2 linked regions of the Caenorhabditis elegans genome follow. The protein of the gene in region 1 purifies or fractionates together with the protein of each later gene. This does not show direct contact. Each region holds a gene or a part of one and is shown on either strand. Other genes may lie near its edges.

Region 1 (5,951 bases):
TTTTTTCGCCTACTCGTAAATTTTTTGAGGCGAAAACTGAGAAATAGCCGTTTTTGACAGCGAATAAAATTATTCTGGAAAGTTTCACTGTAAAATTTAAGCTTACTAGCACACGACAGGCGCTACTGCACCATAAAATACTCACGTTTTGGAGTAGCAGCTTCACCGCGTCGCGATGTCCTTCCCACACGGCAGACAACAGCGGTGTGATTCCGTATTTGTCCTTATCCTGAATCAACAAACATAAATGCATATTGTTGAATATCGTGCTGATTCACCTGAATATTCGCTCCAATGCTAATCAAATACGCAATGATAGAAGTCTGTCCGTAGTCGGCGGCAATTTGAATGGCGGTGCGGCCGTTGTAGATCTCGTGAACGTTCTTCTCGTTGACGCTCTGCTTCACTGCATCGATCTCTCCGTTTTGTACGTTCCAGGCGACGGACATCTGGAATTGTTGTGAGTTTTAATAGAAAATGTTCACAAAAATGTAAATAGCAGTAGGTTAGAAACCAGTGAAATAAAATCTCAAGGAAACTTCAAGAAAATTGAGCTTCAAACTTTTATTTACAAAATTTATGATACGTGTTTTAAAAAAACAAAACTGTAACAACAAAATATGTTAGAAATTGACAATTTGGATAAAAATTTGTATACAGAACAATATATCAGACTGGACAGCTAGTTTCCGCTGAACAACGCAAAAAATCGATGAGAAAGGCTGGTGTTGTGTGCTTAGTGTGCGCAGAGAAATGAAAAAAGAGATGAAGATCAGGTGTGAAAACATTGAAAAATGAAACAATAAACAACGGAAAACGAAATATCTCTGAAGTGTTGTTCAATTTTCAAGCAGCCGACACTGGACTGATAACTTCCTCTTCATCTTCGTCGGAAGAATCATCCGATTCATAGGGATATTCAGACTCCACAAAATATGGAACACCAAACGAATCTGCGTCTGTGAGACGATCAATTTGAACGTGACGCATTTGCTCTTCCAAATGAATTCGTTCCTGATCATTATTGTTATTGAGTTGAAATATGGGCCAGTAATGCCTCAAATGTCTTGTAATTTCGGTTTCAACATTTTGATTATTGCCAAAAATCCGATCATAATTCATTGTGATCCGATGGAGCAAAGGTACACGACCACCAGGTCGGCTGAGAGTTTTTGTCATAAAGATTGGAAACGAATTTTTGAATCCATCGGTAAGTTTGTAGCCTGAAAATTGAAATATGCTACAGATTGCTCAGTTTTCGAAAAGGAAAAAATAATTCAAAATAGTTCTGAAAAATGCTGAGTTGTCTCAAAATTACTGAAGGTTTTATCATGTTTTGGAATACATTTTCATAAAGCTTTATCCAATGTAAATAATTGTCATTCTGACACTAAAAACGCATTCTTAAGTCTTGATTGAAATTTTTTGAAGTGAAACATTCGTCTGCAAGGCTCACGCACCTTGTCTTTGTCATGATACTTTTTGCAACGTTATCAAAAAAATTTGATAAATCTATTCTCAACTCTACCTTTAAAAATATTCAAAGGGCTCATGAAACTTGGCTCAACTTGAAGAACGTCGTTGTTGATTACACCAAGCATATAGACGAGAAGTTTTCTGAAAATAGACAGATTTTTTTCTGAAGTAAAAAATTATCCAATTTACATACCCTGTATTTACAATAATGTATTGCTCACGTTGGTATCGCTGTCTCTCATGATGATTAAAATGACGACTAAAACGTCCCCAGTTGTACACATTATTTGCATTTGCTACAATGTGGAAATCAATTTCCTTTGCGATTCTGAAAATAAAATAAGAAAAGTTTGAATTTTTTCGAAAAAAGGTTGCTCAGATTCTTCAAACAAACCAAGAACTTGAGTTGCAACTTAATACTTTATTTAGTAATTATGGTATGTTTAAAAGAAATTTCCCCACTGGCCTTTAAAAAGAATAGTATAATTTTTTTAGATAACACACAAAAAAAAATTCAAAGGTATTAAACCACTTACTTTTCTTGCCAGTCTGGATCGATTTCAGTCATAACTGCTTTTAATTTTGTATCTATTTGGTACAGGTTATACAGACAGTGCAAAACCATTTCAAATGGACCAAACACTTGGTCAATCTGAAATTAAAAAATTAAATTAGATTTACTTGCTCATAAATCCTTCAATTAACCCCTTCTGCGTGCACATCTGGTAGAAACTTCATGAGTCGTTTGAAAAGAAGTTTGAAAAGTTCCGGATTACTATTCTGGTGATGTTGCTCCTTTTTGGGACACACTGCAGCGAGGCACTAAAATTATAAACTTGTATGTTTTGATGAGTTTTAAAAACTGTACCGTGTAATATACGCAACGTTGTTTTTCATCCATCATTGGCTCTAAAACTGCAAACTTCATCAGCTCATCGAACACGTTTTGTCGATAGTTGGGGAAGTACTTTATGAGCACACTTTGGCGGGAAAAGAAAATAAGTCCGTGATTTGTTGGATTTTTCTGACGTGTCATATCTAGTTCAATTAAATGACGGTGTGCACTGTCTGCCAAAATTTCATCCGATACTGAATTATTTAGTTGTAATTGACTCATGAAGTATTGAATCTCGTAGGCATTTCTGTTTTGGAGCATCTGAAAGCTTGACCACACAGTAGAAAGAAAAATACATTCTTGAAAAAAAAACGCACTGCTACAACGAAATTCGTTTCGATTCGATCTATATCCATTTCTTTGAAATTTCCCAATTCCTCAATTGTTGTGGCATTTCTTTTTATGTTCAAAAACTCAACGGCGGTTCCCAGATTCAGCCATCTTTTTGAAACGTGGTATGTTAAAGCCTCCAGCATTTGATACGAAAAGTTTTCAGTAACAATTATAAGAGATATCAGTAGGAAGAAATTTTCGCGGCCCAGACGGACATTTTTGGCTAGCTGAAAAATTGATTTTAATAATTTTTTGAAAAGTTATTTGTTTAATGAACTGCACTGCATTTTTTTTTTTCAGTTTCGATTGTTTCCATTGTTTGGTACTTCCAAAAAGTGGTCAAAACTGAGATTTTTTCAATTTTCAAAAAATCATAAACAACATTTTAAAAAAATTTCTGTCATTGTGGTCATTGTGGTGCGATTTCCCTACAGGCGCTATCCCACTTTTAAATTCTACAAAATTTGGTGGATTACCAATTTTTCGTGGGGTACTACATTTTTCAAACACAAACACTTACTGAAAGGAAACAGCTATTTAGCTCAGCATTCGCTAGTGGTGGTAGTTGTGGTCTCAATTCGCAAATTAAATATTTCAGGCATTGCAGGCTGTCTTTGACATCTTGAATCCGCCATCGATTATTTATGCGAATATCTAAAAAAAATAATTAATATTTCACAAAAATTGTTTCATCAAATAACTACTCACCGCGCGCAATTTCCAACACAATGTCGCCAAACTTGTTTATAGCTGTTTCATAGCATTCTTCATCCTTTTCCATGACAATGCCAGTTATGTGTTTACCAGCTGCTGCGCCGAGCTTTGTCCAGAGAACAGGAGGAGCATTGAATATCAAATCTGCTCGGTACTGAAAATAATGAAAGTTTTGGCTACTCAATTGGCTTGAAATACCTCATTGAAACTGTCTTCTGGTATCAGTTTTACCAAAGCTTTCTTCCAGTAGCACATGGTTGATTCATTGATGTAGTCTCTGTAACAATTTTTTTTTGAAAAAAAGAAGAAGGTCCACTTACTGAAGCAAAGATCCCAATATATAACGAATCGTTTCTTCAGAAAATCCATTCGCCAAAATTTGCAATGCTTTTCTGATGTCTTCTTTGTTGGTGCTTGGGCTTTTAATCAAAGATTCAAAACAGGTAAATCCAAGTTCTCGGTTCATTTTGAAAGCTGAAAATAGGAATTTTATTAAAAAATAATCAGAAGTTTTAAAAAATATTGTTTTAGAAAAAAGGAACATGAGTATGATGTGTAAATGGCGGAAACCAAGAAATAAGTTTTTGAAGCATTTTTAAATGTTTTAATTTACAGTCAAAAGTGGTGAAAACTGAGTTATCACTCATCGTAATTTTAGAAGTAGCCTTCTACAATTTCATCACATATTTGAAACATTTGGAAATTTACCAACACTGAAAATTTTTTTAAAGGAGGAGTACTGGTTGGAAATTTTAAACGTTTTTTGCAAAATGTGCTCAAATTAACAGAATTTGTAATGAAACTTTTCAAAAAGTTTTCTAAATGTTTTTTGACAATTAAATATTTTGAAAAAAAAGCTAATATTAGAAGTAAAAAATATATTTTAAAAAACGGAATGACATTCCGAAATGTGTTAAAAAACCGATTATCCAACAGAGAACATGTTTGGTCAAAATCAATAGGACGTTGCTGCTCTTCTACGTCCTGGTAGTGCCTGGTAGTCAAAACGAATGCACGAAAAATGAAGCAGCAGGCAGCGTCAATTTCATGTTGCTCACAACCCACATTCTTTCAGTTGTTTTCCAAAAGCTTAATGTTGTCGCCTTCGGAAAATGAAACAGAGGCGCGGAAATTAGAATATGACGTAGATTGACGGATTGGATTGAAATGAGGCAGAAGAAATTGGAAGTTAAAGTGAAAATTGATTTTATCACGGTATATTTTTTCATAGCCAAAAAACCTTCAAGGAAACTGAATACTTGATCGTTTAGATTAAAAATGATTCAAATAAGTAAGCAAACTTCAAAAATTCTGAAAGTGTTTTAAACTATTTTATGGTGGTTTAAAATTTTTTTAAAAAATTGGGCTATTTAAAGCTAAAATCTCCAATTTTGCCGTCATGGTTTGATCTACAAAAAAGCGGAAATTTTTTGCTCAAAAATATGTGACGTCAGCACGTTCTTAACCATACAAAATCAGTTGAGAACTCTGCGTCTCTTCTCCCGCATTTTTTGTAGATCTACGTAAATCAAGCCAAAATGAGACACTCTGACACCACGTGAGCCAAAATGGGACAATTTTTTCCAAGTTAATTTGAGCACATTTCGGGTCCGTACTTTCAAAAAACTCAGAACCGTTACTCTTTTTTTAATATAATTTTAGTAAGAGCGATGAAACATATCTTTTCATTTGAAAATCAAGACACAAAAAATGAAGACCGGCATTCTTCAAAAAAAAAATCTCAGTATATTTTACCTAATCAAGAATCGTTTTTTAAGGTTTTTATGGATTTCTGGTAGCTTCCTTGTTTTTGAAATATTGGTAGTTTGTCATGAATCATTTTTTACTGAAAAATATCATGTTTTTAGCTGTTTTAATTTATGAACTTTTAACTAATCTATAAGTACTTGAAGTAAAACAATTTTTGATCGACGACATCCAAAAAGGTGGCAAAAACTTAGCAAATGCCACTTTCTGATAAAATAAAAAGACAAAATTCAGACAAAATTCAGACAAAATAAAAAATATTTATTATTGAAAAAAAACAAGTTTTATTATGGTATTTGGTTAATTTGGCATAAGGAGATTGGTTTTTTTAAATACAATTTCCTCACTAGCGCTACTCTGCCAAAAAAATAACTTCAGTTAAAATAAACGTTAGAGTTATATGGGTATAAACGGAATGAGAGCCAAAAATGACAGAACGGCTTGATTTCTCATCAATGTTTTGCTGTCCGCAACCCTTCGATGCCTCTCCACTCTCTGTCTCTATGTTTTGTCTGCGTATCTAGGCTCTCTTCGTAACCCTACACTATTTCCATTCTGCTTCGTCACTGGTCATCCAACCTCATCACTGTCCACAATACACTTTAGCTTGGTCAATGCAGTGTCTGCACTCTCTCATACAATGGGTACTCTGTATGACCGGCATGATTGGCCTGTGCGCACTGCTGGCCGTCTAAAGCGTCGGCACACACTATTCTAGGCGAACCTCCATTCAAAGAAGACAGGGAAGAGTAGTACGATGGGAATA
Region 2 (5,003 bases), on another chromosome or scaffold:
TCAGAGAAATTGAATTTCCCGCCAAACATTTTTTATTCCAACAATAAGAGAAATTGAATTTCCGCCAAAAATGTATTTCTTACAAAATTTGAACTTCCCGTCAAACATTTTTTTCTTATAAAATTTGAATTTCGCGGCAAATTTTTTTTCATAAAAATTGTCTTTCCCGCCAAAATTTTCCTCGAAAATTTGAACTTCCCCCAATACTTTTATACCGACCACAACAAGAACTTATTGCCATGCTCCCGGAAACAAAGAAAAATCGATATTCCAGGGCTGCGAATCACCTATCAGACAACCGAACATCTTGAAAAAACTGGCTCTAGGCCTGGAAAAAATTCGCAGTACTCAGTGCAATGTGACAAAAATCCTGTCAAAATTCGGGAAGGACGAAGTTCTTGCAATGTGGGAAACTGATATGTTGAAGATTGCAAAATGGTTCACATATTTCGACAATTTCCAGAAACTTCCATATAATCTTCAGGTTTGTGCCGGTAGATCAAACTTATACTAATGAAAAAAAAAACTTTTGCAGATCGATATGATCAAGCAAGTCTGGGCTATTTGGGCGGCAATGGAAAAGCTGGCAAATACTGCAAATGCTAAAAAAAATTCCACATGCGAAAGTGCGAATGTTGTGCTTCAGATTGACGATGATTTGGTGGCCTGTGAACAGTCGATCGAGATCGATCTTTCCTGGTGCTCGAGTTATAAAACCGAGCAGTTGCAGTTGTGAGTTTTGGAATCCACAGCGGCCGACATCGATCGAGGCTTGCGATAAATGTCGGCTGCTTCTTATCATATACCCGGAGATCAACGATAATAACATTTTCAGCTTCGACTTTGACCATCAAGCTCAGCTCGAATATTTAGTGCAACTAATGGTAGATCTCAATCCAACAGACGAAGAACTCAGTTATATGCTATGCCATATTTGCTTCGAACATATCAAAAAATCATGTGACAGGTTTACTCAAGAAACCGTTGAGCAGCTTCAAGACACCCTTTCTGATCATTTACATGACTACTACATAAACCATGAAAACCGCCCGACTTACTCAGGAAGGATCGTTTCAATGATAAAGCTCAACAATGCTTTTCAGGTTTTTTGTTCTATGAATTCTAAAATTAACCTTTTTTTGAAATTTCAGAAGTACGTCCAGCGGGAACGACTGAAATGTGAACTGATGAGACTGTTCAAAGTGTTATTCGTGGAGTATTCAAATCCTGAATTATTTGTGGATTATTGGTAGTCAATGGAAGTGCGGAAGATCTCAAAAAATTATGTTTTTTTTTTCTAAAAAAAAATCATTTGTTTGTATCTCAACATGCTTTATTATTACGGCAAAACGACGAATAAAATATTTTAATTTGAATTTAACTCTGGATTTTAAATAGAATAAAATTTTGAATTTTGCGTGAAAATATAATACTATATTGGACATAATTCAGGAATTCCAAAATTATTTTTTTGAAAAAATTAGATTTCCGCGGTAAATTTCAGAAAAAATATTGAAGTCTAAGTTTCGCGCCGAATTGTTTGAAAATTTTGAATTTTGCGTCAGCTCTCGCCGAGCTATTTTTGAAAAAAAATTACAAATTTTTCGAAAACTTCAATTTTGCTGAAAATTAATTGAGAACGTTGAACCTTGCGCTGAAATTTCTGTAAAATGTTTTTAAAAAATGAAGGGTTTTGCTCAAAAATAATCACGCACTACAAACTACAAAAACTACAAACTATAAATAAACCATTATTTTTAAATTTAAAACCCTATGTTTCTTGAGCATTTAGAAGATAGTGATGCCACTTTTTACATTAAAGTCGACAAAAATTTTTATTAGGTCACTTTTTCCTATTATTATACTCTTTGATCTTTCAAACTGTAGGGCACCCACACATACACTACAAAATACGCGTTTTGTCCTTCCATTTTCTCTGCGCTCTCTTCAAAGTTCAACAAATAATTTTTTCATCATATGGTTACACCGATTTGAAAATGTCTTTATTTGATTTTTACGCTGGTTAATTTATGCTGAAACAATACATTAAAAATACATATTCCAGGAAAACAAAATGGATACCCCTTGCTCATCCGGCTCCTCACCACCGGACCTCACCATTTCTACCACTAAAAAGTGCCCGGTTTGCTATAAGCCGCCCCATGGGATTCATTTCGGAGCGTACACCTGTCGAGCTTGTGCGGTGTTTTTCAGGTAAATTTCTAATTCTAATATTTTAACAATATTTTACAAAATTCCAGGAGATTCGGAGCTTCAAACAATCTCAAGCCATGTAAAAAGAACAATGTTTGCGATTTTTACAAAAATGGATATGTGAGCTGTAAAAAGTGTCGATTAAAAAAATGCTTCGAAATTGGGATGAAAATTGAGAGTAAGGGATCTGGCTCCCTATTAGTACTAGTTTTTTTCAGACTTTCAATTCGAAAGGGACCCATACAAGAGAAGTTCAATATGCATCAGTCTAGCTGGAAGAATTCCACCGGTAAGTTGTCTTATAAAAAAACGGAAAATTGTTATTGAGACTGAAATAAGTGGCCCGACATCCTCCGGGTTCCACGCCTCACCATCAAAAACCCAAACTCAAGGTCGGGCCATGCACATACAATTTCCAGACGCTTGAAACATTCCTTGCTCGACCAAGCTTTATAATTCTCACTGCTCCACCAAAAGATGCACAAAATCCCAAGGTCTATATCGATGTCAAATTTTTGATTGACAAGTCCTACGGGGAGTTACTAAAGGCAAGATATTTCCAGCTAGTACAAGCTTTAACTAAAGTTGTGTACTTCAGGGCATTGAAACACCTATTCAAACGTCGAATATTTTGAAAAAGCTGGCTTTGGGTTTACAGCAAGTCCGGGGGTCTCAGAGAAAAGTAACGAAACGGCTAGAAAAATTCGGAAAAGATGAAATGTTTGCAATGTGGGAAAATGATATGCTGAAAGTTGCCAAGTGGTTCACCTACTTTGAAGATTTTCAACAGTTTTCTTCGGAATTTCAGGTAAAGTTTAAAAATTTTGCAATGTTTTGTGTACAAATTACAATAAAAATATTTTTTTATTTATAAAAATAAAAATAAATAAAAATATTTAGATAGAGATTATTAAAAAAGTTTGGATTGTCTGGAATGGTTTGGAAAAGCTGGCAACTACCGCCAAAATGAGAAAGCGGATGAATTGTGATGATATTCTTATGGTATTACAAATGGAAAATGATCTAGTGGCTTGTGGGAAGTCGGTAGAGTTCGACTTATCTTGGTGCTCAAATTACAAAGCGGAGCAGTTTGCATTGTGAGCATTATTTTAAAAAAATTAAATCATTGCCTATATATTAAAAAATAGTGTACGTCTGTTGACTACGTCATCAATGGGCGGAGCCTCTCCATTTGTGGCGAGACTCATCGTTGCGAGTCCCATCGTGGCGAGACGCATCAAAAGAAAAATATTTCGGCAGGAAACTGAAAATTTTCTAAGAATACAATTTTGGCGAAAAAATTAAAATTTCTGAGAAAAGTTGTTAGCGGGTCTTTCCAGAAAAATCTTGAAATTTCTAGAAAAATCTGGAAAATTTTAGATTTTTCTGGAAACTTCTAGAGTTTCCTACAATAATCAGGAAACTTCTAGAAATATGTTTAGAGTAATACAAACTTGAAATTTTGATTTTGTTCTGAAAATTAGCTGAAACTTAATTTATAAAATTGAATTAACCGAAAAAATTGACTGAAAAAAATTACCCGAATTTTTAGTTTAGTCTCAATTTGGCGGCCAATTTAAAAATGTTTTTGAAAAATCCAATTTCACTCTACAACTCACCAACTTAAAAACGTAAGACTTGAAAATTCATCAATTTTGTTTTACGAACTTTTCGAAAAACATTACTCTCTTACTATTTTTTCAGCATCGATTCAAATTGGAACAAACATGAAGAGCTGCTGGAATTGATGGTACAACTCAACCCAACAGATGAGGAACTTTGTTACATGCTATGTCATTTGTGTTTCCAACAAATTAGCAAACAATGTGACGGGCAAATACTTGAAGCCGTTGAGCAATTTCAAGATTCTATATCAAATCATTTACACGACTATTACTTGAACCATTTGTCCCGCCCGAATTATTCCGGAAGGATTGCTGCTTTGATGAAGCTTAATAGTATTGCTCAGGTATTTTATATTAAACCTTGTCTGGAAAAAACTCTGAAATTTCCAGCAATTCATCTACCAAGACCAAATAAATGTGGAGATTTTGAAAGTGTTCGAAGTGTTTTTTGTAAACTTTTCCCATCCGGAATTATTTATGAACTACCAATAACGAATTCATAATCTGTAAATAAACACCTATATTCTTGGCACATTTTTGCTCTTTTTCTAAAGTACCAAGTGCTCTTCGCACCTATTGTTTGCACTACAAACTACACTATATTATTCCACATCAGACATTTCTCGTAGAGTCTGCGTCTTCTTTTAAATTTCTCGTCATATGCTCGGAACTACCTTTACAACTTTTTTTAAAATCGGAGGTGCTTGTTTTAATTACTTTGAAAAATGACGTTATCTATTTTTTTTGAATCGTTAAACTTTTCAAAAAATATTATTTAGATTTTTCGTTTCTGAAAGAAAATTTGTTTGGAAAAATGTAATTGTTCTTGTTCGTTGACATTATTTTTAAACATACACAAAATCTCAAAATAGTTTTGAAACTTTTTTTTTTTGGATTTTTGGATTTTTAAAATTTTCATGTGTCATTTTGTTATTTTCAGCATCAAAAATTTCAGCTCATTTATGGAAAATCCGATTTTTTTTCTAAAAAAACCTGAATATTTTATTTTGTTCCCCAGCACTTTAGGATATTCCCCCTAAAGCAAGTAAGCTGTGTAAATACTACCAGGTCCATTATAACACCCGCAGAATACCCGAGAAAAGTCGGCAATTGCAAACATGTGGGGAAGAGACCAAAGAATCAATGTACTTTCTTTTGAATGCG

What was found.
Region 2: the proteins of C43H6.4 (region 1) and nhr-202 fractionate together in Caenorhabditis elegans (co-fractionation; one large-scale study listed by BioGRID). This does not show direct contact.

The regions. Positions count from the first base shown.
Region 1 is NC_003284.9:2,401,965-2,407,915, reverse strand, and holds C43H6.4 (PH domain-containing protein), read right to left. Parts: upstream 3,893-5,951; 5' UTR 3,885-3,892; coding exon 3,739-3,884; intron 3,696-3,738; coding exon 3,617-3,695; intron 3,573-3,616; coding exon 3,413-3,572; intron 3,359-3,412; coding exon 3,225-3,358; intron 2,932-3,224; coding exon 2,689-2,931; intron 2,633-2,688; coding exon 2,345-2,632; intron 2,299-2,344; coding exon 2,182-2,298; intron 2,129-2,181; coding exon 2,013-2,128; intron 1,805-2,012; coding exon 1,670-1,804; intron 1,618-1,669; coding exon 1,529-1,617; intron 1,224-1,528; coding exon 847-1,223; 3' UTR 552-846; downstream 1-551. Other genes in the region: mtpn-1 (ANK_REP_REGION domain-containing protein), read right to left, coding at 146-229, 279-449.
Region 2 is NC_003283.11:460,526-465,528, forward strand, and holds nhr-202 (Nuclear Hormone Receptor family), read left to right. Parts: upstream 1-2,062; 5' UTR 2,063-2,074; coding exon 2,075-2,214; intron 2,215-2,261; coding exon 2,262-2,392; intron 2,393-2,432; coding exon 2,433-2,503; intron 2,504-2,633; coding exon 2,634-2,762; intron 2,763-2,812; coding exon 2,813-3,022; intron 3,023-3,114; coding exon 3,115-3,311; intron 3,312-3,918; coding exon 3,919-4,183; intron 4,184-4,229; coding exon 4,230-4,331; 3' UTR 4,332-4,438; downstream 4,439-5,003. Other genes in the region: nhr-203 (Nuclear Hormone Receptor family), read left to right, coding at 275-484, 536-732, 836-1,103, 1,152-1,253.